7 linked regions of the Macaca mulatta genome follow. The protein of the gene in region 5 interacts with the protein of the main gene of each other region in a biochemical or structural test. Links are inferred from orthologs where the notes say so. Each region holds a gene or a part of one and is shown on either strand. Other genes may lie near its edges.

Evidence for each region.
Region 1: the proteins of TJP1 (region 5) and CLDN8 form a complex in vitro, tested with the Homo sapiens proteins (2 studies listed by BioGRID and IntAct, with this or other methods). The link is inferred for Macaca mulatta from reciprocal best matches to the Homo sapiens genes TJP1 and CLDN8.
Region 2: the proteins of TJP1 (region 5) and CLDN1 form a complex in vitro, tested with the Homo sapiens proteins (2 studies listed by BioGRID and IntAct, with this or other methods). The link is inferred for Macaca mulatta from reciprocal best matches to the Homo sapiens genes TJP1 and CLDN1.
Region 3: the proteins of TJP1 (region 5) and CLDN4 form a complex in vitro, tested with the Homo sapiens proteins (2 studies listed by BioGRID and IntAct, with this or other methods). The link is inferred for Macaca mulatta from reciprocal best matches to the Homo sapiens genes TJP1 and CLDN4.
Region 4: the proteins of TJP1 (region 5) and KIRREL1 form a complex in vitro, tested with the Homo sapiens proteins (3 studies listed by BioGRID and IntAct, with this or other methods). The link is inferred for Macaca mulatta from reciprocal best matches to the Homo sapiens genes TJP1 and KIRREL1.
Region 6: the proteins of TJP1 (region 5) and CGN form a complex in vitro, tested with the Homo sapiens proteins (2 studies listed by BioGRID and IntAct, with this or other methods). The link is inferred for Macaca mulatta from reciprocal best matches to the Homo sapiens genes TJP1 and CGN.
Region 7: the proteins of TJP1 (region 5) and JAM2 form a complex in vitro, tested with the Homo sapiens proteins (2 studies listed by BioGRID and IntAct, with this or other methods). The link is inferred for Macaca mulatta from reciprocal best matches to the Homo sapiens genes TJP1 and JAM2.

The regions. Positions count from the first base shown.
Region 1 is NC_133408.1:17,283,676-17,288,352, forward strand, and holds CLDN8 (claudin-8), read left to right. Parts: upstream 1-1,527; 5' UTR 1,528-1,753; coding exon 1,754-2,431; 3' UTR 2,432-3,682; downstream 3,683-4,677.
Region 2 is NC_133407.1:8,337,724-8,342,425, reverse strand, and holds the start of CLDN1 (claudin-1), read right to left. Parts: upstream 3,032-4,702; 5' UTR 2,763-3,031; coding exon 2,540-2,762; intron 1-2,539.
Region 3 is NC_133408.1:51,328,800-51,332,844, forward strand, and holds CLDN4 (claudin-4), read left to right. Parts: upstream 1-1,349; 5' UTR 1,350-1,689; coding exon 1,690-2,319; 3' UTR 2,320-3,169; downstream 3,170-4,045. UniProt on the Homo sapiens protein: Can associate with other claudins to regulate tight junction structural and functional strand dynamics.
Region 4 is NC_133406.1:108,862,805-108,866,903, forward strand, and holds part of KIRREL1 (kin of IRRE-like protein 1), read right to left. Parts: coding exon 3,999-4,099; intron 3,475-3,998; coding exon 3,347-3,474; intron 2,668-3,346; coding exon 2,493-2,667; intron 2,404-2,492; coding exon 2,303-2,403; intron 762-2,302; coding exon 563-761; intron 1-562. UniProt on the Homo sapiens protein: Required for proper function of the glomerular filtration barrier. It is involved in the maintenance of a stable podocyte architecture with interdigitating foot processes connected by specialized cell-cell junctions, known as the slit diaphragm.
Region 5 is NC_133412.1:8,697,400-8,701,498, reverse strand, and holds part of TJP1 (tight junction protein 1), read right to left. Parts: intron 3,032-4,099; coding exon 2,681-3,031; intron 2,340-2,680; coding exon 2,100-2,339; intron 1,455-2,099; coding exon 582-1,454; intron 439-581; coding exon 341-438; intron 1-340. UniProt on the Homo sapiens protein: TJP1, TJP2, and TJP3 are closely related scaffolding proteins that link tight junction (TJ) transmembrane proteins such as claudins, junctional adhesion molecules, and occludin to the actin cytoskeleton.
Region 6 is NC_133406.1:115,557,400-115,561,498, reverse strand, and holds part of CGN (cingulin), read left to right. Parts: intron 1-929; exon of another isoform or gene 930-1,422; intron 1,423-2,927; coding exon 2,928-3,055; intron 3,056-3,730; coding exon 3,731-3,863; intron 3,864-4,099. UniProt on the Homo sapiens protein: Probably plays a role in the formation and regulation of the tight junction (TJ) paracellular permeability barrier.
Region 7 is NC_133408.1:21,798,933-21,803,031, reverse strand, and holds part of JAM2 (junctional adhesion molecule B), read left to right. Parts: intron 1-976; coding exon 977-1,076; intron 1,077-4,099. UniProt on the Homo sapiens protein: Junctional adhesion protein that mediates heterotypic cell-cell interactions with its cognate receptor JAM3 to regulate different cellular processes. Plays a role in homing and mobilization of hematopoietic stem and progenitor cells within the bone marrow.

The sequences.
Region 1 (4,677 bases), on a different chromosome or scaffold from region 5:
TCCCAAGATTAATCTAAGTCCCCCTCCACCACAAATCTGTAATGGATAAAAACTTGATGAAGAAAATGCCGCATATGTTCTACGTCAGCCTAAGGGACACCCTGAAATTTAGCACCTAGCAGGTCAAGAAGTGAGAAAATTTCTGTAAATATTAAGTTTTAACTTTTTATTACATTTATTATGTCTGTTTAACAAAATTATAACAACTCAGACTACTATGCATCCTACTTCTTTTTTAGAAGACGGTCTACTTTATCCTCCTTTTGCCCTTTCTACCATATAGTTTTTGTTTTAATAATATCCATAAATGACTCAGATTTTTTGAACCATGAAACTCACAAAGTTTAATTAGTGAGCAGAAAAGATTTTCTCCCATATTTGGATTTAAGGTAGTCCGATGAAGCAGAGAGAAAGTAAAACTGTAAAGAAAAGATCATTTTTTATGATGTTAAGAAGAAAAGAAAATAAAGTGCAGCTTAAAGTTAGGAAAGATCAGACAGAGAGCTCAAGGTGATCTCCAGAAGAAAATTGCTGGTGGAATTTTCTCAGATAAACATTTATGCTTAGTATAGCACCACTGTTAGATCATCATTATTTTGAGAAGAAAGTTCACATTGTCTTGCATTTAGGGATTTCTATGTCCTACTGCAGACATAATATTAAAAGGTTGGAAAACATATTTGGTTAATACCTAATATAATACAGTTTAGTAAATATAGTTCCCTTGTCCTGTAAATATTTTATTTTGAAATATTGGCCATTTGCATAGACCCAAGGGTCTTGAGACATCTTCAGAATTCTCGTTCCTTCAGCCCAGGAAGACAAAGCAGCAAGAATAGCACCACAAAATAAGCTCATAAGCTTGCTTAAATGCTATAGTCCTGGCTACATAAGATAATTATCTGGTGACTTTTATTTTGGCAATTTTTTTTTTTAATAAATGAAGATTATCAGAAAAGTGCCAATGAGTAATTTTTCTGCCTTAAAGAACCCCGATATGTTTTAAGTGCCAAGGAGAAGGACAGCCTTGTGTATTTAATTACTTTAGTTTGTTTTGTCCTCTGGCATGATCTGTTCCCTGATTTCACCAAAGTAGAGCTTGCTTTGAAGTTGTAGAAAAATTAAATCAATCACTTGGATCACATGTGTCCCAAAGAATGTGGTTTCTCAGGTAAAAGCAATCTTTCAATCCCCTGCTCTCGTTTCACTTTGGCATTTCAACAGCATTGCAAAATTCTTCGGCAGATATTTTATTTTATCCCTTGGTCCCAGCAGCTTTTACTAAGAGTTTCAGAATTGCCTGTACAAGGTGCACCTTTCACATTACAAGGGATTGGCTCATTTCTTGATGCTTATGCAACCATTTATAACTATGCCTACAGGTAAACATACTGCTGTCTTCTCGGAAGACCGAGAAGTATAAAGAATGTTTATGTGCAGGTCTAGCCGTTACAAGTACCCAAGTGTTGGTTTAGACACACCTGGGTTACCATCCACCTTTTATTGGCTGAGAAAGTTGCCACACCTGATTTGTAAGTTTACCTGTTGCAGCCAATAACAGGGCCATCTCAGCCAGCCAGCACTGGATACTATCTGGCCAGAAGTAGCAAAGCAGCTCTTATTTGAAAAGCCACTGGGTTCTGAGTTCATTACTACAGCAAAAACTGTTCTCTTCTGTGGCACAGAGAACCTTGCTTCAAAGCAGAACTAGCAGCTCGGGAGTCCAGCTGACTAAAACCCATCCCAGGGGATAATGGCAACCCATGCCTTAGAAATTGCTGGGCTGTTTCTTGGTGGTGTTGGAATGGTGGGCACAGTGGCTGTCACCGTCATGCCTCAGTGGAGAGTGTCGGCCTTCATTGAAAACAACATCGTGGTGTTTGAAAACTTCTGGGAAGGACTGTGGATGAATTGCGTGAGGCAGGCTAACATCAGGATGCAGTGCAAAATCTATGATTCCCTGTTGGCTCTTTCTCCGGACCTACAGGCAGCCAGAGGACTGATGTGTGCTGCTTCCGTAATGTCCTTCTTGGCTTTCATGATGGCCATCCTTGGCATGAAATGCACCAGGTGCACGGGGGACAATGAGAAGGTGAAGGCTCACATTCTGCTGACAGCTGGAATCATCTTCATCATCACGGGCATGGTGGTGCTCATCCCTGTGAGCTGGGTTGCCAATGCCATCATCAGAGATTTCTATAACCCGATAGTGAATGTTGCCCAAAAACGTGAGCTTGGAGAAGCCCTCTACTTAGGATGGACCACTGCACTCGTGCTCATTGTTGGAGGAGCCCTGTTCTGTTGTATTTTTTGTTGCAATGAAAAGAGCAGTAGCTACAGATACTCGATACCCTCCCATCGCACAACCCAAAGAAGTTATCACATGGAAAAGAAGTCACCGAGCGTCTACTCCAGATCTCAGTATGTGTAGTTGTGTATGTTTTTATAACTTTACTATAAAGCCATGCAAATGATTAAAATCTCTATTATTTTCTCAAAATGGACCCCAAAGAAACTTTGATTTACTGTTCTTAACTGCTTAATCTTAATTACAGGAACTGTGCATCAGCTATTTATGATTCTATAAGCTATTTCAGCAGAATGAGATATTAAACCCAATGCTTTTATTGTTCTAAAGTACAGTAATTTGTTTTCTAAGATGATTCAAGCGCCCACTATTTTTATCATTTACTTCAAAATGACATTGCTAAAGACTGCATTATTTTACCACTGTAATTTCTCCATGACATAGCATTATGTTCATAGATGAGTGTAACATTTATATCTTACATAGAGACATGCTTATATGGTTTTATTTGAAATGAAATGCCGATCCATTACACTGAATAAATAGAACTCAACTATTGCTTTTCAGGGAAATCATGGATAGGATTGAAGAAGGTTTCTATTAATTGTTTAAAAACAGCTTAGGGATTAATGTCCTCCATTTATAATGAAGGTTAAAATGAAGGCTTTAATCAGCATTGTAAAGGAAATTGAATGGCTTTCTGATATGCTGTTTTTTAGCCTAGGAGTTGGAAATCCTAACTTCTTTATCCTCTTCTCCCAGAGGCTTTTTTTTTTCTTGTATATTAAATTAACATTTTTAAAAAGCAGATATTTTGTCAAGAGGCTTTGCATTCAAACTGCTTTTCCAGGGCTACACTCAGAGGAAAGATAAAAGTGTGATCTAAGAAAAAGTGATGGTTTTAGAAAAGTGAAAATATTTTTTCTTATTATGTTTTTGTATTTGAAGAAGAATGATGCATTTTGACAAGAAATCATTTATGTATGGGTGTATTTTAATAAGTATTTGAGTACAGACTTTGAGGTTTCATCAATATAAATAAAAGAGCAGAAAAATATGTCTTGGTTTTCATTTACTTACCAAAAAAACAACAACAACAAAAAATAAAGTTGTCCTTTGAGAACTTCACCTGCTCCTATGCGGGTACCTAAGTCAAAATTGACATTTTTGTTCTGTGAAAAATAAATTTCCTTCTTGTACCATTTCTGTTTAGTTTTACTAAAATCTGTAAATACTGTATTTTTCTGTTTATTCCAAATTTGATGAAACTGACAATCCAGTTTGAAAGTTTGTGTCAATGTCTGTCTAGCTTAAATGAATGTGTTCTATTTGCTTTATACTTTTATATTAATAAATTGTACTTTTTTCTAATTATTTGACATTCTTTCACTAGTCTCCTTTTATTTCTGTTTTATTAACTTGTAGAAGAGTTTTGAAAAACCTGATATTTTTTATTCTCCAAATTGAGAAAGAATGTCAAGGTTGCCTTGTAAAGATTAAACAGAGCACTAATTTTTGAAAATATAAATTACTCTATGTTATTTAACAACAATATACCTTATAATCATTGGATTCCTATACCAATATTCAATGCAGATAACATATTTATAATTTAAGATAGTACTATAAATTCAAACAAATCTATATGTTATAAATATTATGTATATAACAGCCACATTTGAAAAATTTACTGTAGCTAAATATATATTTCTACTTCTGAGAAATAATAAATAACAGTTGCTAATGTTCTGGGGGCATGTATTACATGCTAGGACCTCTACTGCTTATATGAATTATATTATTAAATCTTTTATGAGACTGATAATATTATTAGTTCAATTCAAAGATGAGGCTATCTCGGAACAATTCATTGATTACCCAGTAGAATCAGGAGATTTAAAAAAAGAGCTGCCTGACCTCATAGCTCAATACTGTTTCTCTGAAGGAAACTGAAATTTTTTTCAGCAATGTCTAGTTTAGAAACTAATTTTTATATGTTAAAATGACACGCTTAACTACTATGAGTTGGGAAAACTTATAGTTGTCTTTTAAAAATTTTTTTTAAATTGAAACAGAGTCTCAGTCACCCAGGCTAGAGTGCAGTGGTGTGATCTCAGCTCACTGCAACCTCCACCTCCCGGATTCAAACGATTCTCCTCCCTCAGCCTCCTATGTAGCTGGGATTACAGGCATGTGCCACCACACCCAGTCATTTTCTTTTTTTCCATATTGGTGATTCTCTTATACCCAAGAGCTCATTCATCCTAGGCAATTTTGCTTTTTCAGGTCAAAACATTCATAAAAGGAAAAATACAGCAAAAATAACTGAGCACCTTGGAGAAGAAATCCATAGGCCCCATCTTCTAAAT
Region 2 (4,702 bases), on a different chromosome or scaffold from region 5:
AGAAGAAGACTTGCTGTATCTCATTTTGTATTTACTGTATACACTATTAGCACACTGTATTCCTTCAGCTACTTTATGAAGGTCATATGCTTTTTACAACCTACCCTACATAAACCAGGGAAACAAGAGATTTTAATACCTCCAGTGCTAAAGCCTTGGCAAAGCCCTGCATCTGGGCTCGAAGACAAGTGTTCTCTACTGGGAAAGACAGCAAGGTACAATTTCAGGAAACCCACAGCTAAGCTTTTCACCTAAACACACTTAATGAAATGCAGCTTTTTTATGAGGGATACTGCTTAAATATACACACATAACCCTTTTCGTCTCCACATGTAACAAAACTATCCCAAAACCGGCCAATGAATCACCATCCCAGATCTCTACAGCTGGTGGGCGTAAACACCACTGCTCAGGCAGAGAAATGGAGTGAGGTTTCCTGGACTCCATCCAAAAGCATGCCGCGAGTCATGGCAGGTTCGAAGAGAAAACCTGCGAGTCCAGGGTCCCTCTTCTGAGAATGGGTTTTGAGAGAAAGGTGTAAGCCACACCTTGGATAAACTCTGGCTTTAAGTAAAACAAAAGTGGATTCTGATCTGGAGTTTAAAAAAAACAACTAAGAAGACACCTCTAAAGTGTATGTGGGGGAATAGCTATTTAGTCCTTTCACCGCAGTTTTAAAAACTGTGATAACTACATTAACCAAAAAATGAAAGCAAAACATTTTAACACATTATCGTGTGTAAGGGTGATCCCTTTGAGTTTTTACAACATGGATCAATCTGATTTCATGTGGTCATTTCAGGAAAGTTAAAAGAAAACCTATTTAAAGATGTTGAAAGGAACTATTTTGATCAGAGGAACAAAACTGACAGTGAGGCCTCTCTGGAATTGTCCTTAGAAACCTCCGTCTGCCAATTCCTTAACGTGCTACCTAAAATGCCTGACACCGTTTCCTTAAATATATCTATCTTTCCATGGAGAAATTCAATAATTATTACCTAATTTTTCACTTTATAAGCACAAATATAACCCATGAGGGCAATGAGCAACACATAATTACTAAACTTAGAGATTGGTTTTGGTGTAAAGAAGTCCTAACATGGGAACCTTCAGAAGCTGAAATCCTAACACTCAAAACGACCATGCACATTGACTGAGCCAATGCCACAGGTATTCAAGGTGTTTAAACAGATGTGGAACAGGTTTAATAGCTCTAAACTATATGGCTTTTGATATACACTATTAAAAGTTGTCCATTGATAGGAGGTAGACAAAACAAGTTAAGTAAACTTGAACAATGCCAACACTTTCCACCCTTAGCACACAATGGGGGCTAGTGGGCAGTCACGTTTATCTAGGCAAAGACTAAGGGACCTTTTCTTCAAGTGAGTTAAAGGGCATAACAGACACATGATATAAGACAAGTAATGTGATTTCTCTAGGAAGATACTCCAGCCATGAATCATTATTACCTAAGTAAACGGGAATTTAATGATTTTTCTGACAAGGCACTCAAAACCTTTAGTTAAAAAAAGTTAAAAATTATCCTATTATCCTTCTTCCCACCATCCTTAGAAATATGTCTCTCTATACAATCCTTTCCAACGTGACAAGGGGTCACTGAACATCCATTACACAGAAATTCCTTTGTGGAAGATGGAAACCTAAGGAAGACCCACCTCTTCTTTCTCTCTCACTGCCTTCCACTCCCAGCTGACCTCTGATTTCATCAGCTATGACTATTTTGCTGCATTTCCCTTGAGTGCCTTTACTTTTCCCTTTGTATTATGTTGGGCAGGTTATTTAGAACCTTTGTTGTCAGCCTTCCCCCACTTGCCACCAACCTTCTCTTTCCAAAATAGAACTACACCATCAGCCTCCACCGAAGACCTTGGGTGTAAAACTTCAAACTTTGGGGGAATCTCAAGCGGCTTCTCCAGAGTCTTGCAAGGGGCCTCCCTGCACTAACTAGATCTTACACATTAAAAGAATCATCCTCAAGTATGAGCAGAAGACACTTGGGACATTTCAAGTAGGAATGTAAATTTTACTATGCAAAATCATAGTAAAGGTTACAAAAATTATATCTCATACTTGAGGATTATTTATTTAAGCTTGCACACTTGAGAAGTTACCAGGCTCCAAACTTTTTAAGCCATCCCATTTTTCTTGTCTGAACCCTACCAATCCTCAATTTACCCCAGATCTCAGAATGCCTAGGAGAGGTCTCAGAGCTCAAGTTCAAGTTTAGCCTTCACTCCCTCAATCTCGACCCCCCGGCATAGGAATTTAGGATGAAGCCACACCTAGAGTGGCAGAAAAGTATCACCCAGGGAGTTTTAGGCAAAACTAGAGCTTATGCCTGGGCGTCCCTTTTCTCAGACCAGGATTCTCTTCATTTCCTTACGACAGAGCACATGATCAGAAGACTTGATCAACTGAAGACTGATAACCATGGAATCACAGGACAGAATGAGACGGTAAGGGAGCTGCAGGGGGACTGGGGCCTCTGGACGGCTGGGAGGTGGGGTGCACTCACTGCTCAGATTCAGCAAGGAGTCAAAGACTTTGCACTGGATCTGCCCGGTGCTCTGCGACACGCAGGACATCCACAGCCCCTCGTACATGGCCTGGGCGGTCACGATGTTGTCGCCGGCATAGGAGTAAATCCTCCACTGGGGCAGGGCAGTGCTGACGATGGCGCCGATCCATCCCAGGAAGGCGAGAATGAAGCCCAAAAGCTGCAGCCCCGCGTTGGCCATGACTCGCTCGGCCGCCCGCGCTGGCTCAGGGGTGGCAGGTGCAGAAGGCAGAGAGTTTGCAGGTGCGCAACGCGGGCTCCCGAAGGTGGCTGGGCCCCGCGGAGGAAGTTAAAGCGGGGAGCCCTGCTCGCTGCGCCGCCGCTGGAGAAGCTCTGGGTCCGGGCTGGGGTCCGGGGCCCGGGCGGCGCTGGAGTCTGGATACTAGAAGCTGCGGTTGCTCCCAGGCTCAGGAACTGAGACGCCAAACCGCTGGGCGCCGCGATTTAAAGCAGCTCCGCCCGCCTCGGCCCCGGCAGCCGGGGAGCGCCCCCTGGCGGTTTCAGGGCGGCTCACCGAGAGGGCGCCGGGAGCGCCGGGTTGGGGGAACACGCGGCTGGTGGCGTGGGGACCATCCCGCAGGACCAGGCACTACAGCTGCGTCCCTGCTCGTTTTCTCTGGTGGATCTTCCCGCTCCTGTCAGGCGTTTCGCGCTTTTCATTCATTCACTCCAATTATCCAAAAATTACTATGCACTGTACCTGTAAATCCAAAAAACAAAGATGAAAAAATGAGCCCTCAAGAGCTGCAGTTTTAGGTTTAATACCTTTTTCCTATTATTTTATTAAAAGGCATTTCCACCCAACTCCGCATCTCCTCCCCCATCACACACATTTCTCTCTCCTTTACTTGGCTTCCTCCCCCTTCTCCTTTCATCTCTCTGCTCCCTTCTGTCAAGGTCGTTCCATTACTTGTCTCTGCAAGAGAGAGATCTTTACACTCTACAAATTGGGAAACAGACCCAGAGAGGAACATGATTTACACACACACACACACACACACACACACACAGCATATCCAGTACTTGGCTCCCCTCCCAATCTGCTTTCCACTACATATCAAGTTGACCCAAAAATACCCCCTTTGATCTCTGATTGTCCTTTTTGATGTATTATTGTCCTTACGAAAATGCAGCCTAGCCCTCCCCCGCCAAACATCAACCTCCTGCCCACAGCAGTTATGTCTTAGGCAGCAATTCATTATCAGAGAGACCTGGTCGGTGCCCCGCTCTCCCTGAAAGATGTTAATTTTGTGAGTTATCACATGCTGTTCGTCACAGGTGAGGGCATGTAAACAGCGTTTCCCAGTGGAAGAAGGACTGGGCTGGAGTTGAGGAAGTCTGGGCTCTGGTTCCAGCTTTTGCTGTGACTGGCTATGTCACCCCTCCGGTTTCGGTCTCGCTGGGACTGTAGTTTCCCTCTATGCTTCTCTAAAGCTTCCTTCTTTGTAGTTAGTCAGAAGTGCTGCTGTGGTTAGGAATAATTGAAGTGTTTTCCCACTGCTTTTTGTGCGTGGTGCGAGTGTGGTGGGAGGGGAAGCTTCTATGGTTTTAGTAAAAACAGAAGCACCTTGGAAGCAGAAATAAACATATTAAGGAGAAAACAAGATATACTCTTATATACCATGGCAACTGCTAGTGGGTGACAGAGAAGGAAAGGTGCAAATGCTCAAGGAGGGAATGGGAGGAAAGGCCAAGCCCCACCACCTTCATTTCCACCTGGCTCTCCCTGGATGCCTTTCGTGTAGGCTTACCACTAAAGGACTTGGCTGTGCTAGGATTTGGGGACAAGCACTGAAGAATGTAAAACAGGAGTTAGATGAAGACATTTAATTTGGACTAAGATTAACACAGTGAATGCTGTCTTTCTCCTATCAGCTGTTTAGGGCAAGACCATGTCCCTGTTGTATCCCAGGGTTTGGGCCTGCAGTCAGTACTACTTTCTAGGTCTCGGTGGATGTTCTGTGGGTGCCTGTCAGTGTGAATGAAGATGTATCAATCACATTTGATTTTGTAAAAATTCCCTGATCAGAGAAGGCACTAGAATTTGCTGTAGGACTAGACCAGTACCATGTGAATCACATAATCTCATTTTCCTTTTTTTGTTCCAAACATTTAAGAATT
Region 3 (4,045 bases), on a different chromosome or scaffold from region 5:
CGGGGATGAGCCCTAGACACTCTCGATCACCCCCACGATGACCCCTTCCCAGAGGTCCCCTCAGTCATCTGCCCTGAACCAAGATCTTCCTGATCCTAGACCCTCCTCCCTCCCTCCATCTCCCAGGGCTCGGTGACATTCCGGGCAGAAATTTCTGACTCTTTTACTCTGGAACCTCCCTCCCCAGCCCAGTCTCTAGTCAAACTGGATTCCTGGCTGTTCCCAGAACAAGCTGCCCTTCCCCACCTTGCCACCTCTGCCCTTGTTCTCTCTGCCCGAATGTCCTCCTTCACCAGTCTCGCTGCCTTGCACATCTCTCCTAAGGGCTGTGTTCCCAGAACGAGCTGCGTTTGTTCAGCCTGGCCCACCGTCTACCAGAATGTCCTCCTTCAGCCAGTCCCGTTGCCTTGCAAAACTTTTCTGGGGGACCCGTTCATGATGCCTTCTGTGGCATAATCCAAGAATCCAGTGCCCCCAGGAGTTGTGCCACCCAGCACCCCTTTGCAGTCAAGCTCCCCCAGCACCACACCTCCCCACCCCGGAAGAGTTCCCCTTCCCTTTGAAATCTCATGGGACTTTGCACCCACCCTGGCTTTATTGGAAGGCTTTGTATGTCTCCACAGGGTAAACACCCATTTACTGGGGTGATGATGTCTCCAGGATCTAGTTAATGTTTGTCGTCGTTGGTGACCAGCCCCACCCAGTTCTGGGCAAGCAGGGTGGCCCCTGGCAGGAACAGAGCCCACCAGACTAAACTTCTGTGGAGGTGGAGAGGGGCAGGCTTCTGTCTCTTTTTGGCTAAAGGTGCATCATATCCAAGGCCCCTCTTCTAGCCAAACAGAGAAGCCGGTGATAGAGATGGGTGAGAGTGGGTGATGTACCCAGGAGTCCCGGCTTCCCGGCTCCTCACTCCCCTACACGTAACTTTATCCAGCCAGTGCCGCAGAGGCTGCTGGTGAGGCCAGATGCATGAATGATCATAATCACAATAGCAGTGAAACTGCCAGTGATGAAACTGATAAGGACAAGAAAGGACAGTAATCAAGGTGCGGTTTCTCGTGGATGTTTCCAAGACTGCATCCTCAAACTCTCTCCCTGAGGGTCTCCACCCTGTCCTCCCACCTAAATCTAGAATGAGGGGACCCTGGCTTGTGGGGACCCTGGTCTTCAGGCTCCCAAACCTGGCTGGTCTGGCTGCCCCCTGGCCTTGCCCTGTGAATATCCAGCTGTCCCTGGGCTGTGATTCAGTGTCTGTCTCCCGGGTGACCTCAGCATGGGCTTTGAGGAAGGGGAGAGGGTAGTTTCTTCTGAGACTGGATAGTGACTCAGGGACCAGGGGCAGGGGCCTCAAAAGTGCCTTTGTTGGCCTGGGCTCAGGAATCCAGAGAAACTGGTCAGGAGGAGGTCCCAGTGATGAAAACCCCTCCCTCTGCCCCCGCCCCTCTGCCAGAGCCATATAACTGCTCAACCTGTCCTGAGAGAGAGAGTGCCCTGGCAGCTGTCGGCTGGAAGGAACTGGTCTGCTCACACTCGCTGGCTTGTGCATCAGGACTGGCTTTTTCTCCTGACTCACAGCGCAAAGGAGCTCTCTGTGAACGTTAAGTCCGTCCCCAGCGCTTGGAATCCTACGGCCTCCTCAGCCGGATCCCCTCAGCCTTCCAGGTCCTCAACCTCCGCGGACGCTGAGCGATGGCCTCCATGGGGCTACAGGTGACGGGCATCGCGCTGGCCGTCCTGGGCTGGCTGGCCGTCATGCTGTGCTGCGCGCTGCCCATGTGGCGCGTGACGGCCTTCATCGGCAGCAACATCGTCACCTCGCAGACCATCTGGGAGGGCCTGTGGATGAACTGCGTGGTGCAGAGCACCGGCCAGATGCAGTGCAAGGTGTACGACTCGCTGCTGGCGCTGCCGCAGGACCTGCAGGCGGCCCGCGCCCTCGTCATCATCAGCATCATCGTGGCCGCTCTGGGCGTGCTGCTGTCCGTGGTGGGGGGCAAGTGTACAAACTGCCTGGAGGATGAGAGTGCCAAGGCCAAGACCATGATCGTGGCGGGTGTGGTGTTCCTGTTGGCCGGCCTGCTGGTGATAGTGCCCGTGTCCTGGACGGCCCACAACATCATCCAAGACTTCTACAACCCGCTGGTGGCCTCCGGGCAGAAGCGGGAGATGGGTGCCTCGCTCTACGTCGGCTGGGCTGCCTCCGGCCTGCTGCTGCTTGGCGGGGGGCTGCTTTGCTGCAACTGCCCACCCCGCACAGACAAGCCTTACTCTGCCAAGTATTCTGCCGCCCGCTCTGCTGCTGCCAGCAACTACGTGTAAGGTGCCACGGCTCCACTCTGTCCCTCTCTGCTTTGTTCTTCCCTGGACTGAGCTCAGCACAGGCTGTGACCCCAGGAGGGCCCTGCCACTGGCCCCTGGCTGCTGGGGACTGGGGACTGGGCAGAGACTGAGCCAGGCAGGAAGGCAGCAGCCTTCAGCCTCTCTGGCCCATTCGGACACCTTCCCAAGGCCGCCTCCTGCTAGCAAGAACAGAGTCCACCCTCCTCTGGATATTGTGGAGGGACAGAAGTGACAGGGTGTGGCAGTGGAGTGGGGAGCTGGCTTCTGCTGGCCAGGATGGCTCAACCGTGACTTTGGGCTCTGCCTGCATCGGTGTTGGCCACTGTCCCCATTTACATTTTCCCCACTCTGTCTGCCTGCATCTCCTCTGTTCCGGGCAGGCCTTGATGTCACCTCTAGGACTGTGCCTTGCTCACCGAAACCCGCACCCAGGAGTATGGCTGAGGCCTTGCCCACCCACCTGCCTGAGGAGGGCAGAGTGGATGGACGGGTTTGGAGGGGAGGGGTGAAGGCTTTGTAAACAGGTTTGGGCAGTGGTGGGGGAGGGGGCCAGAGAGGCCGCTCAGGCTGCCCAGCTCTGTGGCCTCAGGACTCTGCCTCACCCACTTCAGCCATGGGCCACTGGAGACTGATCCCCCTGAGTCCTCTGCCCCTGCCAAGGACACTAACCAGCCTGGGAGGGTGGCAGGGAGGAGGGGCGGCTTCACCCTCGGGAGTCCTGGGGTTCTTCCTCCTCCTTCTTCGTGGTTTCTGTTTTGTAATTTAAGAAGATCTATTCATCACTGTAATTATTATTATTTTCTACAATAAATGGAACCTGTGCACAGGAGGAACTTGTATTGTCTCTGATTTCAGCTGTGGAGGTGGGTGGGGCAGGGCTGGAGGCCTAGGCAGGGGGTAGGTGAGGGGCAAGGCCGCTGTGTTTTGGCCAGTACATGAACACTTAAAAAAAAAAAAACGACGAGATCCAGGGAACTGTGAAAAACTGGAGCTGGGCTGGGTGTGGCGGTGAGCACCTGTAATCCCAGCACTTTACTAGGTCGAGGTGGGAGGATCGCTCGAGGCAGGAGTTTGAGACCAGCCTGCCCAACATCGTGGCGCCATCTCTCCAAAAAGTTTAAAAAATGAGCTGGGCCTGGTGGCTCATGCCTGTAATCCCTGTACTTGGGGAGGTTGAGGTAAGCGAATTGCTTGAGCCCAGGAGTTTATGAGGCCGCAGTGAGCTTTGATCGCACCACTGCACTTCAGCCTGGGTGACGGGGCGAGACCTTATCTCTTAACAACAAAAAAAAATGAAACGGGCCTCCAAGGTGTCACCTTAAAAAATAAATTAAATGGGCCTCCAACGTATCAAAGTTTTAAAAAAAAGAAATGGATCCCCAAGCCATCACCTAAAAAAAAAAATGAGATAGGCCCCCAAGGTATCACTTTGTCCAGATGGGGGCCCTTCATTGGTTGGAGGGTAAACCCGTATACAGGAAACAGTGTATGCCTGGGACCCCAGTGAAGGGTTGGGGACCCTAGGAGGGAGGTGCCCACATACGCTCCCAGCTCTGAGGTATGGGCCACCAGCCACCCCCACCCCGCTGTTGCTCCAGTTTTGTCTGGGCAGCCAGGCTGGTCTGTTCCTCTTTGCTGAGTCACCCAGGTTCCCCTTCCCAGCCTTTGCATAGCCGGTCCCTGCTCCCAGCCTGGAATGTCCCTT
Region 4 (4,099 bases), on a different chromosome or scaffold from region 5:
GCCGGGACTACAGGCGCCCGCCACCTCGCCCAGCTAGTTTTTTGTATTTTTTAGTAGAGACGGGGTTTCACCGTGTTAGCCAGGATGGTCTCGAACTCCTGACCTCGTGATCCGCCCGTCTCGGCCTCCCAAAGTGCTGGGATTACAGGCTTGAACCACCGCGCCCGGCTACACTGAAAGTTTCTTGAGGTCAGGGACTGTGTCTTGTTCACGGCTCTTCCTGCAGACCCTGGGGCAGAGCCTGGCACACAGCAAATGCTCAATACACTTTAACAAAGTGAGGGAATTTCCCCAGTTGAGCATATGGAGGCCAGGTTCTGGTGGGAAGGCCCAAGAGAGTTCTTTCCTTGATGCACACTCTTATAATAGGCAGGAATCAGACGGGAGTAGCCCCAAACCCCTTCACTCCTTATCTCTCAGCCGGGACATCCCTCTGTGTGTCACCTCCCTCAGAGCAGAGCCCAAGGGAAGGGGAGCAGCTGAGCCCTGCCCCTGGAGAAAAGAGGGAGCAGAATCCTCAGGCTTCCCTGCACCCCAGCTGGCAGGCAGCACTGCCAGTCACCTCGCTCTTCCAGCTGGATGATGGCTGTGCCTGGCCCGAAGCTGTTCCAGGCGGTGCAGTTGTAGTGGGTCTGAAAGTCGGCCTCCATGACATTGTTGATGGTGAGCGTGGATAGCACCCCACTGCCTGAGTTGGTCCTCTCCACTGTATAGCGTTCCAGGGTCCCCACCTCCAAGAAGTTCTCCTTCCATGCCCACGCCTGCAGTGGAGAGGGCAGGAAGGAGGTAAGAAAGGGGCAGGTGGCAGAAGCCCATGCCCACGTGTCCCCTGATCCACCCTCAAGGCACCCTCACCCCTATGTGCCATGTGTGCCCCACGAGTCCAGCCTAACACCTCCCTGTAACAAACTTAAGTCACACCTGCTGCCTCACACCCTCGGCACTGACTCTCCACTCAAGGAGGAGCAGTGGCTCCCAAGCATGGCTGACATCAGATTTACCTAGGGAGATTCTTTCAAATGTAGATTTTTGGGACTTATGTCCTACATAGGAATCTCCAGGGAGGAAGAGAATCTCTGTTTTCATAATGATCACATGTGATGTGGATGCAGCTGATGCAATGAACCGACACTGGGAGCCCCAGATGTTGTAGAAAAAGTTCTGCATGGGTCCTCAACAACGCTGGGCTCCTCTGCCCATCGAGCTCCTGTGTGGCCTCCCCGTCCCTCTCTAGGCCTCATTTTCTTCATCTATACAATGACAGAACCAGGCTAGGGCCAGACAATGCTCAAGATTTCTTTCAGCTCTGATAGTCTGTGATTCTAACTAAGCGTAACTCAATCTTTAGGCATAACGTTAACCAACCCACACGACCTGCCTGACTGGCTCTGAGACTGATCCACAGACTTATAATAGGCAGAACCCACAACGGGGTATCCCTGGACCGTTCCGTCCCTGACCTCTCAGCTGGGCCATTCCCCTGCGTGGCCCCTTCCTCAGAGTGGAGCCTAAGGGGAGGGGAGCAGCCGAGAACTGGCTCCTTTCCAGGGATCAATCCTCCTAGATCTGCAAGGAAAGCCCCCCGGGAGCCCAGCCGCCTGCTGCCCGGGCAGCCGTGGTAATGAAGTGTCCCTGGGCAGCCCTGGAGTTAGCCAAATGGTCATTAAATGTGATGAGGGGTTTGACAGTTAATGGTCACGGAAGGAATTAATGGCTCATGGTGTGGGGGAGAGGAGAAAGGAGGGAGGAGAGTGGCAAGGCAAAGGGGCTGGTAGGAGGAAGGCAAGAGGAGGGAGAGAAGAGTGGGCCAGGCAGGCAGGAGAACTGATGGGATGGGAGGGAGAGGGCAGGAGCCAGAGGAGGAGGAGACAGGGAAGGGGAGGGAACAAGGAAAAGAGCAGGAGGTCAATGACAGGGCAGATGAGGGAGAAAAGAGGGGAAGTGTTAGCCCAGGGGAGAGAGCGGGGAACTAACATGAATTGAGTGCTGGCCTAGGCGTCTCATACCTGTTGCTGCCATGACTTCTCACAGCAACTCTATTAGGTAGGATTTACTGGCCCTGTTTTGTAGATGAATAAACTGAGGTTCAAAACATTAAGTGATCTGCTCAGGGACACATAACGAGTAAGGGAGGAGGTGGGATTTGAGCAGGTAAAGGGACAGAGGGACAGAAAGCAGAAGATTCGAAGATGGAAACGGGACAGGGAAGTTGAAGGAGCAAAACCAGCAGAGGTGAGAGGAGACTGGGCCTGGGCAAAGAAGCAGGGAGGGCTGGCTGTCCGCAGGCAGGCCCACCACTCACTATGCGGTCTGGGGGTGGTGTGCTCCCAATGAAACACTCCACCTTGCCACCGTCACCCCTCACAGCGTACTGCACCGCCTCACTGGAGATGATGGGGGGCCCTGCAAGCAAGAAGACACACATCAGAACCAGTTAAAAACCTCAGTGCCCGCCCACCCAGGCCCGGCTGCCTCTCAGGCCACTGACTCACCGTTCACATAGAGCGGCACCTCCCTCTCAGCCACTCCGATTCGAGGCACAATGGCCCGGCAGGTGTAGGTGCCAGCGTCTGCCTGAGTCACCGACTTCAGCAGCAGCTGGTTGCTGTTACTCAGGACCTGGGCAGAGAGAGCAGCCTCGGGTGGGGAGCCAGGAGGCCTGGGCCCCTAGGTCCATGAGGGCCCCACATCGGAGGCATTGGAAAGAAAGCAGGAAGGGCCACAAGTGAATTCCCAGAAAGGAAAAGGGATTCCCGAGTCCATTTTGGTCCATGCTCTGACTCTACACAGGTTGGCACGTAAATACCCCATCTCTGCAAGAGTGGGCAGGGATGGGGTGGAGGCCAGAGAGGGCGGGTGAAGGCTGCAATCATTTTAGGAGGATGCAGCCTCTTCTGATGATCTGTCATGTTTTCATTGCCAAATGAAGTAGGACGTTTTACTCTGAGATTCCTCTTCCTGCAGTTCTGGCCCAAATGGTCTAATGGGCATCTCTGCAGAGCTATAGACTCCAGCCTTCTCTAGCGAATCGCCTCAGCTTCCCCACCCCCCTGTGCAGCATTATTTACCAGACCTTTGCCACTGCAGCAGGCCCATCCCAGGCCCTCTCCCTTCCTCCCATCCCACCCTGCTTCCCATGCATAGCTGAGTTTGTCCCCCAAGTGCTTCTGAACTGGGCAGCAGTCCTGTGAGAAGAGGTGGGGATAACTGTAAGCACCTTCTCCTTCAAATCCCAAGACCCTAGAAATAGCCCAGGTTCAAAGATGATGCTGCAGCCCCCCATCTACTCCCATCTGTGGCCACACCCCTTCCTCCCAGCATTCAGAATAGGCAGTAAGAGTCTTACCATGTTTGAGTCCTTTTTGGTCCAGGTGAGAGTGAGGGGGGGATTCCCAACCCAGACACAGGTGAGGGTCACATCAGAGCCAATGTCTGTAGTTGTGGGTTTGGGGTCGACTACAATCCGGGGGGCGACTGTGAGGGAGAAAGAAGCCACTCGTTAGGGTCTCAAGCTCACGGGGTTAACTCCAATCAATCTTCTTCCTCCTGCCCTGCTACCTCCCCATTCATGGAGCCGTCCCCGACTCTGCCCCAGGCCCTCCAGGGCCCTGCTCTCTGTCCCCGTCCCTGCCCTCCCGCTCTCTGTCCCCGTCCCTGCCCTCCCGCTCTCTGTCCCCGTCCCTGCCCTCCCGCTCTCTGTCCCCGTCCCTGCCCTCCCGCTCTCTGTCCCCGTCCCTGCCCTCCCGCTCTCTGTCCCCGTCCCTGCCCTCCCGCTCTCTGTCCCTGTCCCTGCCCTCCTGCTCTCTGTCCCCGTCCCTGCCCTCCCGCTCTCTGTCCCCGTCCCTGCCCGCCTGCTCTCTGTCCCCGTCCCTGCCCTCCCGCTCTCTGTCCCTGTCCCTGCCCTCCCGCTCTCTGTCCCTGTCCCTGCCCTCCTGCTCTCTGTCCCCGTCCCTGCCCTCCCGCTCTCTGTCCCCGTCCCTGCCCTCCCAGCTACTCACAGTGGACATTTACTAAAGTGCTGACATTGGTGCTCCCCACTTTGTTGTGAACCTCACAAGACACAGGCTCCGTGAAAAAGGAATAATCCACATTTGTCTCA
Region 5 (4,099 bases):
ACTGGAAACTAAGAGGTCACATGTTGAAAAGCACTTTTAAAACTAAAAAACATAATACAAATGTCAGAGCTTAAAAATGTTTATTTAATCATCTGCTTGGAGACTATCCTTCCGAAAGTTTGCTAAAGGTATAAAGATTTGTCAGAAAAGGCATAATAAAGTTCTACTTTTTTTTTTTTTCTTAGAATCACTGTGTAGGAGAGCTGATAGTTTTTATTTAAGGACAAACTCCTCCTATTCACACCTCTCCTCTACTAACACAGTAAAAGGTTTTCTCATTGACTAAGAGGGATAAATTCCTGGTCAGTTCTATGCCACAAAGAGCACAAAGTGCACTCACCTGTATAGAGTTTTGTCATGTTCACTGAATTGATTCTGAGAAGTGGGTTTGGGACCAATGATGGGAGCACCTGAAGGTTTAGATGCTACTTCTGGAGGCTGTTTAGGAGAAAAAAAAAAAAGACAAATATGCCTAAGGAACAGATAATTACAGAATAGATATCATGTAATGGGGGAGGGGAGAGCTAAGAAGCCTTTTAAACCATGTGCCTATGCATCCAAGGCAGGAAAGACATATTTACCTTAAAAGTGGCAGTGTCATTTACATCCTTCTTGGTCTCTAAGGATGCAGATCTTTTGTTTTCAAACATCTTAACTCTGGTGAGTACAGACTGTGGCTTCATTGCTGGATCTTCCTCTTCTTCGGTTTGAGTTGGGGGTGGAGGCAGTGGTTTGGTATTTGAAGGCAGAGCTTCTGGCTTATGCTGAGATGAAGGTATCAGCGGAGGGACAGCTGCAGCACCATGGAGAGGCTCAAAATGACCTGCTCTAGAGGTAAATCCTTGGGGTGGGACTTGCTCGTAACTGCGTGAATATTGCTCAAAATACTGCTTGGGCTCTGCGGGCTTGGGCCCTGCTGAAGGGTAGGGCTGGGTTTCCGGCCTGTGTCTACCATGCGTGTCATACCCAGGAGCTGGCTGCTCTTCGTGCCGCAGGGCAGACGCTCTAGGTGCCTGTTCGTAACGTGGTCTGCTGTCATAGGACAGAGGGGCTGGCTCTTCAAAACGTGGAAAGTACCCGCGTTCTGAAGACTCTTCGGGATGCTGTCTGGAGTCAAGGTCTCGAGAGTGCTGATTATCAAAAGGTGGCCGAGATGGGTAGGGCTGTTTGTCATCATAATATGACCACTGTTCTTCATACATGGGGACGCGATCTTCGTATCGCAGACGATGTTCATAGTTTCGAGAAAACTGGTCCGTATAGCTTGAGGACTCGTATCTGTACGTGGGCTGCTCAAGGTCTCTGCTGGCTTGTTTCTCTACGTATGGGAGTTGGGGTTCATAGGTCAGATTAGGCTCTTTGTCTGGCCTGTGCCCTGGGTGACCAACGGCTGGCTGTTTCAAAACATGGTTTTGTCTCATCATTTCCTCGGGATATGGATCCTTTCTGTACACCTGTATAAAAAATTCACATTTAAGGACAAAGTCTTGTTTTTAATTTTAGTCTATTTTATTAGACTATGATTAAATATTAAACTATGATTTAATATGTGAAAATGGTACGTTTTACCATTTATTATCAGGATAGACAAGATTAGTGGAAAATGCTGGTTTAAGTGAAAGCTCAAAATTTATAATGCAGGTAGGGGCTTTTATGTTTCAGCATGTACTAAACAGTGAGTTAAGATAAATATTAAATTTAGTAGAAAATTAATGCACCAAACTGTTGATTACACTTCATTTTGACACTGAAAAATCCTAAAGAAAATTTATGGGCATCATAATCTGTGTTAACATAAATATGTTTATGATGGGTTTCAATTACGTATTAAGGAATTCTGGAAGATACTGAAAGCCAAAAATAAAAATAATAAACAATAAGCACAAATCTCAATTAAAAGGCCTGTTTTCAAATAATCAGTATACCAATGGAAGCCATGCAAACTACAAAACTGAAATGATTTGTATTGATTTGAAAGCATTACAGTGTACAAGCCCGCAGTAAAAAAGCAAAAGAAACACTTAAAGGGCAAAGCAAAAATGATCATGTGCCAGATTGATGGAGAGCAACAAATGAGTGCAACACCGCAGCACAGGTACCTTTGTTGGATCTACATGCGACGACAATGATGGTTCTTGATCTCTTAGCATTATGTGAGCTGCCTCAGTACTTGGTGTTCTTAAAGAATCAGCTTGTGGTGAGTAAGTGGTGGAAGGAGCTGGGGTGGGCTCCTCCAGTCTGACATTAGTTAAATTTACATTATGATTAACAGCAGAGGTTGATGATGCTGGGTTTGTTTCAGGCGAAAGGTAAGGGACTGGAGATGAAGCTTCTGCTTTCTGTGAAGTGTTTAAAATATTTTAAATATAGTGTTTCTGTTTACTGCTAACTTCCCACTTCAATTTATAGTGATTGGTAGACATACATTTTAAGTGTGCTGAATAATAAAACTATGACCTCATGTCCTAAACTTTCCAGAAAAAAAAAAAAATCCAGTACATTGCTGTGTTAAGACAAACACACAAAATTTAGAATTAAGTCCTTGGTACTCTCAAATTGAAATTGAAGATTAATTCTTAATCTGGAGAAAGGACAACATATATATTTTTAACTCAATCACCACATTCTAAAATTTAATAATGCACCTCTATCTACAAAACGTTGAATGTTTGCTGCTTACCTGTTGAGAGGCTGGCTTAAATCCAGGGGAGTCTATTCTATGAATTGGTTGTGGCTGCGCTTGTGGTGAGTAAGGAGGATATGTTTGGTTTTCATGATGCATTCCAGAGGAGTCCTCTCTTACAGGCTCAGAGGACCGTGTAATGGCAGACTCCGGTGGAGTCCCAACCTCATCATTAAGAGTTTCATCTAGTTCTTGATCAGTGTAGGCCCCGCCTTCTGTGTCTGTGTCTTCATAGTCAGAAGTGTGTCTACTGTCCGTGCTATACATTGAGTATTCACTACCTGGAGCTGACAGGTAGGACAGACGATCATCATGCAAATCAAGGTCATCACTTGTAGCACCATCCGCCTGGGTCAAATAAAAGTAAATTACAAATTTTATTCAGTAGTTCTTTAAGAGATGGCCTTTATCGTATAAGGGAGATTGAAAAGGATATCTTTCTCTGGAGAAGTCACATCTACTTCTTGAAACTTCTGGTAAGGAAAAGTCAAGAAGATTGCACAAGCACACATACAGACACACAGAGCACCCCTTGAGATCTGAAGGGCATGGATGAAGGAAACAGTGGCTGGTAAGCCAGGACAAAGTCAGACTCCAGGGCCCAGCCCTGGAAGACGACGAAGAAACCCTGACACTGCTCAGATTTATAAAACCTACTGACTAGCTCTTCAGCCCTTTTAAGCAAGGAGAAGAGGGAGAATTACCAAACTAAGCTCACAGAAACAAGGACACACTGACAGAACAGCACATGGGAGAATACCTATGAAACAAACCCAACAGTTCAAAAGTTGAACAAGAGCTAATATATTTATGTTTAGGAAACAACTGATATGGTTTGCATTCGTGTTCCCACCCAAATCTCATGTTGAATTGTAATCCCCAGTGTTGAGGGAAGGGCCTGGTGGGAGGTGACTGGATCATGGGGGTGGTTTCTAATGGTTTAGCATCATCTCCCTCACACTGTCTTGTGGTAGAATTCTCCCAAGATGTTTTTTTAAGTGGGCAGCACCTCCCCCACTCTCTTCCTCCTGCTCCAGTCATGTAAGATGTGCTTCCTTCCCCTTCCACCATGACTGCAAGTTGCCTGAGGCCTCCCCAGAAGCAGGAGCCTGTACAGCCCGCAGAACTGTGAGCCAATTAAACCTTTTCTTTATAAATGACCCAGTCTCAGGTGGTTCTTTATCGCAGTGTGAGAATGGACTAATACAGTAAATTGGTACCAGAGAAGTAGGACATTGCCAAGAAGATATCTGAAAATGTGGAAGCAGCTTTGGAACTGGGTAATGGGCAAAGGCTGAGACAGTTTGGAGGGCTCAAAAGAAGACAGAAAAATGAGGGAAAGTTTGGAATTTCCTAGAGACTTGTAGAAATGTTTTGACCAAAATGCTGATAGTGATATGGACAATAAAGTTCAGG
Region 6 (4,099 bases), on a different chromosome or scaffold from region 5:
GGCAGAGCACATCAGGAATCTTCCTACCTTCCATTCCACTCCCTTTGGTAGTTCCCATCCTGGCTCTGCCCCTTACTAGCTGTATAAAACTTAAGAAAATTACTTACATTCTCTGTGCCTCAATTTTTTTTTTTCATCATCATAATGGCAGTGGTAGTAGCTATCATTTATTGAGTATAATTTTGGTAGTATGTACTGTCCTGGGTACTGTAATCATTATAGTTACCCTATGAATACCTATTCTGGACCCTTTTCTGATGAGAAAACTGAAGATCAGAGAGGCTAAGTAAGTTGCCTATGGTAGTAAGTTGCAGAGAGGAATGAAAAAATCCAGGTCAGTCTTATTCTAAAGCCAGTGTACCCTTTTTAAAAACATGTCTTCTGCCTTTCAAAATACTGGTTTGTGTGTAGTTGGTGCTCAATAAATGCTGGATTGTAACTTCCCTTGTCTCTTGGAAAGCCCTGTAGTGTAATGATTAAGTGGTTAGCTGTGGAGCCAAACTAACTGGGTTCATATCCTGGTCCTGTTACTTTTTGGTTGTGTAACTAACCTTGGGCAAGTTCTTTAAATGTTCTAAGCCTCTGTTTCCTAAATTGTAAAGTGGGGATTATGATAGTACTATATTAATTAACTATTGCTGTGTAACAAATTACCCAAAACTCAGCAGCTTAAAACAAACATTTTCTGGCTGGGCACGGTGGCTTACACATGTAATCCTCTGGGAGGCCGAGGCAGGCAGTTCACCTGAGATTGGGAATTTGAGACCAGCCTGACCAGCATGGAGAAACCCTGTCTCTACTAAAAATACAAAATTAGCCCGGCGTGGTGGCACATGCCTGTAATCCCAGCTATTTGGGAGGCTGAGGCAGGAGAATTGCTTGAACCCGGGAGGCAGAGGTTGTGGTGAGTCGAGATGGCGCCATTGCACTCCAGCCTGAGCAACAAGAGCGAAACTCCGTCTCAAAAAAAAAAAAAAAAAAAAAGCATTTCCCAGTGTCTGAGGACCAAGAACCTGGGATCAGCTTAACAGAGTAATTGTGGCTCTGAGTCTGTTATAAGGTTCCAGTCCAGCTTCTGGCTGTGGCCAAAAGAAGTAAATTGGAGGATCTGCTTCTAAAACGGCTTACTCAGGGCCAGGCATGTTGGCTTACGCCAATAATCCCAGCACTTTGGAGGGGCAAGTTGGGAGGACCACTTGAGCCCAGGAGTTTGAGACAAGCCTGGGCAACATAGTGAGACCCTGCCTCTACAAAAAATAAAAAAAATTAACCAAATGTGATGGCATGCACGTGTAGTTCCAGCTACTTGGGAGGCTGAAGTGGGAGGATTGCTCGAGCCCAGGAGGTTAACACTGCACTAAGCTAGGATTGCACTGCTGCACTCCAGCCTGGGTGCCAGAGCAAGACCCTGTCTCAAAAAAATATAAATGAATGAAACAAACAAAACCAGCTTAATTGGCTGGGTGCAGTGGCTCACGCCCGTAATCCCAACCCTTTGGGAGGCCGAGGTGGGTGGATCACCTGAGGTCAGGAGTTCAAGACCAACCTGGCCAACATGGTGAAGCCCTGTCTCTACTGAAAATACAAAAATTAGTCAGGCGTGGTGGCAGGCATCTATAATCTCTGCTACTTGGGAGCCTGAGGCAGGGAGAATTGTTTGAACCTGGGAGGCAGAGGTTGCAGTGAGCTGAGATTGTGCCGCTGCGCTCCAGTTTGGGCAATGGAGTGAGACTCCATCTCAAAAACAAACAAACAAACAAAAAAACAGGCTGGGCGCTGTGACTCATGCTTGTAATGCCAGCACTTTGGGAGGCCGAGGTGGATGGGTTACCTGAGGTCAGGAGTCTGAGACCAGCCTGACCAACATGGAGAAATCCTGTCTCTACTCTAATAATACAAAAATTAGCCAGGTAAGGTGGCGCATGTCTGTAATCCCAGCTACTTAGGAGGCTGAGGCACGAGAATCACTTGAACCCAGGAGGTGGAGGTTGCGGTGAGCCAAGATCTCGCCATTGCACTCCAGTCTGGGCAACAAGAGCGAAACTCCGTCTCAAAACAAAACAAAACAGAACACCAAAAACAAAACAAAACAGAACACCAAAAACAAAACAAAACAAAACAGAAAAACCTGGCTTAATCAAATGGCTGTTGGTTGTTGACCTCAGTTCCTGGCTGTTTGGCCTTCCTCCTAGAGCTGCTTTTGAGTATCCTCATAATATAACAGCTACTTTTTCCCAGAGTGAGGGATCCAAGAGAAAAGCTGCAATGCCTTTTTATGACCTAACCTCAGAATTTACTCATCACGTCCTCCTTTTACCGTTTGTTAGAAGGAAGCCCCTAAGTCAAGCCCGTGCTTGAGGCAAACAGAATTAGGCTTTATCTTTTTTTGTTTTGTTTTGTTTGTTTTGTTTTTTTTGAGATGGAGTTTTGCTCTTGTTGCCCAGGCTGGAGTGCAATGGTGTGATCTCGGCTCACTGCAACTTTGACCTTCTAGGTTCAAGCAATTCTCCTGCCTCAGCCTCCGGAGTAGCTGGGATTACAGGCATGTGCCACCTCGCCCGGCTAATTTTGTATTTTTAGTAGACACGGGGTTTCTCCATGTTGGTCAGGCTGATCTCAAACTCCCAACCTCAGGTGATTGACCAGCCTAGGCCTCCCAAAGTGTTGGGATTATAGTCGTGAGCCACCGCACCCAGCTGGCTGTATCTTTTGAAAGAAATGTCAGATAATTTGTGGACATATTTTACATCATCATAAGTACCAAGGCTAGTTATGAGGATTAAATGTGGATAATACACATAAGGTCCTAAGTACAGTGTCTATCGTACAGCAAGTGTCTAATGAGTGTTAGACATACATTCCCATTATTCTGAGTCTGAGAGGCTTTCCCTACCCTCCATCTGCTGTACTCTCATTCCCTTTTTCAGAGGCGGCAGAAGCTAGAGCCATCACGAGTTGGGCTGGAGCGGCAGCTGGAGGAGAAAACAGAAGAGTGCAGCCGACTGCAGGAGCTGCTGGAAAGAAGGAAGGGGGAGGCCCAGCAGAGCAACAAGGAGTGAGTGCAGCTGATGGCGCACTTTGGGCTGCTGGGGGGCTGCTTGGGGTCGTAGGCCAGGTTTAGAGGCCACTCCCTCTTTGCCCCTAGGGTTGAAGGAGACAGAAGGAAATCTCCGGAAGCTGAAAGGAGCAGTGTTGGTTTAAGGACAGGATAGGGCCTTTCTCTCTACCTTCTTTATCAATAATGGTGGTAGTGCATGATTTTGAGTTAAGCTACCTGGGTTTGCCTCTGTCTCAGATTCTTAAACTATAAAATAGAGTTAATAATAGTACCTACCTCACAGGATCACTGTAAGGATTCAGTCATCCATTCAGCAGATGTTTCATCAAGAATGCTGTGACAGGCATTAATCTAGGTTCCTAAGGCACATCAGTGAACCCTACAGATGAAGGGCTCGCTCTCCAGAAGCTTAGTTTCTACTGAGAGGGAACAGACAGTAAACAAACATATTATGCAAGTAAATTTGTAACACATGAGAAGGCAGTAGATACAACAGGGTAAGGCAGGTCAGGAGGGTCAGGTTGTAGGGGGGCAGGTTGCAAAAATCAGGGGAGGCCTCATCGAGATTTGAAGGCAGGAAGTTTAAATGCATTAATAAATATGAATTAAAATATATGATGTGTTTAGAAAACTGCCTGACACATAGTGTGCAATAATGTTATCTATTATTAGGCTCCAGAACATGAAGCGCCTCTTGGACCAGGGTGAAGGTTTACGACATGGGCTGGAGGCCCAGGTGATGGAGCTGCAGAACAAGCTGAAACAGGTCCAGGGTCCTGAGCCTGCTAAGGAGGTGTTACTGAAGGTAGGGTCTGGGGTCATATGCCCCAGCATCTGCTTTTTCTCAGCTGGAGCATCCTCAAGTCTGCTCATCCATGGTTTCCCCAAAGTATGAGGAGTGGTTGGCTGATTACAGGTACTCAGTGTGCTTTCAGGCAGATTCAGTGGTGGGTTGGGACTAGAGTTAGGATAAAGGAAACCTATCATTCTGGGCTCTAGTACCGGTACTAGAGCACCTGGTACTGTGCCTAACACAATAAA
Region 7 (4,099 bases), on a different chromosome or scaffold from region 5:
TCTTTCTTTTCTCCCTCCCTCCCTCCCTCTCTTCCTTCCTTTCTCCCTCCCTCCCTCCCTCTCTCCTTTCTTTTCTCCCTCCCTCCCTCCCTCCCTCTCTTCTTTCTTTTCTCCCTCCCTCCCTCTCTTCTTTCTTTTCTCCCTCCCTCCCTCTCTTCTTTCTTTTCTCCCTCCCTCCCTCCCTCCCTCTCTTCTTTCTTTTCTCCCTCCCTCCCTCCCTCTCTTCTTTCTTTTCTCCCTCCCTCCCTCCCTCTCTTCTTTCTTTTCTCCTCTTCTTCCTTTTTGTCTGCCTTCATTCCTTCCAAATATTCTCCAAGGGGATAAAACTACTGATAAAAATAATGAAGTATATTATATCAGTCTTAGCTTTTGGTTGCTTTGACAGGGATGGGAAGGAGCAAGGGCTGGCTTTTCTTTTCAAATTTAAAAAAATTCTAGAATTGATAGAATCAACAATCCTATAAACCGATACCAATTAAGATTTTCCTAGGCCCTAAGCTACTTCCTGGTAGTAACTGACTCTTTAAAGGGAGTATTTATTGTTGGCTGCTGCAGTGAACTCGCTTGTGACTTAGGAAAGTGCATTAACCCTTTTACCAGGGAGGCCTGCCCTTCATTTATAAATGATGTTTCCTAGGAATTAGAAATACCTAGACTACTTAATACTACCATGTGTTATGAACTTTAAAAAATGCTCACTGCCTTCCTAACTGTACTACTTTCATGGTTAAAAAAAAAAAAAAAGGAACTTCCCTGTGTGTGTTTTATCTTTGTTCTTCTCTGTCAAATTAAGCAAAAGTCTAGCTTAAACTCCTTGAAGTCATGGAGATTTTTAAGTTCATAGTAAAGATAGAAAGTCTCAAATTTTTAAAAAGGAAAGACAAACTTGAAGCTAAAACTGGAGGAACAGGGTTATTTAAAAAGTCTACTTATACATCTATGGCTTAAAAATACATATTTTTGCATCCACAAATAGCAATTTAATACTGTTTCCAAACTGGATACTGGAGAATATTCCTGTGAAGCCCGCAATTCTGTTGGATATCGCAGGTGTCCTGGGAAACGAATGCAAGTAGGTAAGCATGAAATATTGGGAGGAACAAATGGTTTTCAATTAGACTGTGAATTCCAGCATTTGGGGGTAGAAGGAGCAAGGAGCAGGACATGTCTGAGTGACTTGAAGGATAAACAGGAGAGAATGATTAAAATTAACTTGATATGATGTGTTGCAAAGAAGCAAGGATGCTGTTTTTAAGCCATCTCCCAAATAAGCCAAAAATACTTAGTATTGTAGTTAACCACTGTTTTTAGTTTTTTAAATAATTGTTTTTAAAATACATTCTTCTGGGTAATCTTTCTCTCGATTAAAAGCTAAGTATCTTGTAGTCTAAATTGTTGAAGGTCTAGAAGTTTGAATTTCTGATATTTTTAAAATTCAGGAATGCATATCATTGATATTAGCCACCAAATTAATTCAGGTGTTGACATTTACAGTCAACATAGCAGTTATTTAAGTAATCAGAAAGTATCCCTTTCAATGCTGCTTTGAAATAATCATTTAAAAAATTCATCACAACATGTTTAAAAATTAAGGCATTGTTTTCTTAGTTTCATTTATTCACATATGTCCTCATGGGTTTTTCTTTTGTTGTTGTTGTTTTTGGTTTTTGTTTTTTTGAGAAAGAGTCCTCCTTGCCCAGGCTGGAGTGCAGGGTTGTGATCTCGGCTCACTGCAACCTCTGCCTCCCAGGTTCAAGCAATTCTCCTGCCTCAGCCTCCCAAATAGCTGGGATTACAGGCGCACCCACCGCACCCAGCTAATTTTGGTATCTTTAGTAGAGACAGGGTTTCACCATGTTGGTCAGGCTGGTCTCAAACTCCTGACCACAGGTGATCCACCCACCTCAGTCTCCCAAAGTGCTGGGATTACAAGTGTGAGCCACCGCGCCCGGCCTGTCCTCATGGTTTTTGCCATTACCTTGTACTACCAGCACAATTTCTGTTTATTTTTCCTTCCATTTAAATGGTCCTGTTTACTTTAAACGTCTACCTTTGCCTTCTCTTAAGGAATCATATCCGGGAAGTCATGGTTTTGATGTATTAGTTACTTTTTCTTAGCACACAATAAATACGTAATGAATAAAATTTAAATGTTTGTTTCTCCATGAGGACCACTTTAATTTGGACATGATTCTCACATATCTACTCTTTCTAAATACAAGTTAGCTTAGAAGTTAAAATTAGTTTGTTTAATGCTCATCCATTGATCCGAGGTGTTTTGCGTCCTTGGTTGGGACTTACATCTTTTGAAATACATACAAATTCATAAATTCATTTTTTTGGTTTTCTTTGTGAATTATAACTATTTTCACATGTAACCAAAATTAGAACATGTTAACTCTCCTAAGACATTTTTTCAAAGTGCAGGATTTGTTGGTTGTTTTTTACGGACTCACTGTAAAACTCCAGCAGGCTCTACTCACACTCAGCCTTTCAGCAGTTTAGTTCCTTTTCTTTCAGTCAGAAAAATGGTACTTTCCTTTTATAGAGACTTTTCCAAAAAAAAAAATCACAAAATATTTTCATCTTTAATGTTACATTTTCTCTACACTGAGGCATAATATGGCTGTATGACTTGCTCAACATCACAGAAAATGGTGAACAGGATGTAAGAAGTTAACTTACTCCTAATCTGTTACTCCTCTATCTCCCATTTCATTGAAGAAAAATAACATAAAATTCATACCACGACTTAGCACTTACAGGACAATTTTTCGTGTTAATCCTTCCTTCATAGATGTTAAATTCATTGATAAACTACAAGACAGTTTTTTTTGGTCAGATAATAGCCCTTACTTTGAACGCTTCATAGATGTCAAATTTATTGACTACTACAAAGTAAACAGAAGGCACACTTTGGTTCTCAGGAATTTCACTTGTTGATTTGACTTTGCCTAAGATTATGATTACTGTAGATTTTTTCTCTATCTGCTCTTTTTAATCCAAGTAAATAAAAAGCCGAATCTTACTGACCTCTCAATACCCAAGCAAACTGAGTTTTTACCAAGCAATAATTAATGTTTTCTACTCTGGTCAAATTACTTAACCTTTCAAAAGATTTATCAAGTTTTCTTTTTAAAAAAAAAAATCAATTAATATTTTGGAGGTATTTAAGAAAATTAGTAACACAATTGGCATTAGGAAAGAATTTCAAGACCTGAAGTTTTTATAAGCAGATTCACTTAAACAGTATCTCTAAAAAGATCATTTCCAAAATGTACATTGCTTTAAAATATTTAAATTATTTTTGAGAAAATGCTACCTAATATTTTCTCTAGGTTATTTAATCATATGCTAATTAAAACTTGTTTTTTAAAATGGGAACTCTTTGAAGAATTGCTCCTTTAATAAATACATGGCAAGTATCTAAATGGCAGAAGAGTGTGGCTCATAAAATCCTTATGGACAAGATGGAGAAATATGGTCCAAACAATGTTTTGGTGGATCCACACGCAGTTGAATCCCATGCTCAAAGAATGTTAATAAATTGTGTTGTATGACGGGAGGTGTCTACTAGACTGTTGTTACATAGTTCTTTCCTAAACAAATGCATGTTCATCATGTTATTAATGACTTGAATGAGAGTATTTGTAATAAAATTCTCAGTTTGCAGAAATGTTAAGCTTGGAAGGTTTATGTTATTATTAATAATTTTTTATTAATTATATTATTAATAATACATTATAATTAATGTATTATTGGGCAACAGAATCAATCTGGGAAGAATCACAGTAATTATTTCCAAACTTGGGTTCAAAACATCCAGTTCCATTACATTAGAGGATGGATGCCTTAACAGCCATAGGAAAAGCCTCAGAGAATTTAATTCATTTTTCATAAATGGATGACAATTTAGTTGCATATATGTATATGGCTGTATACACACATATATACACACACCCATATAATTCAAAAAGGAAGGTATTTCTTACTTAGTTTTACAGAATAACAATGACATGTGCTTTTTTTTGAGACAGTCTCGCTCTGTCACCTAGACTGGAGGGAAGTAGTGCAGTCATAGTTCACTATAATCTCAAAC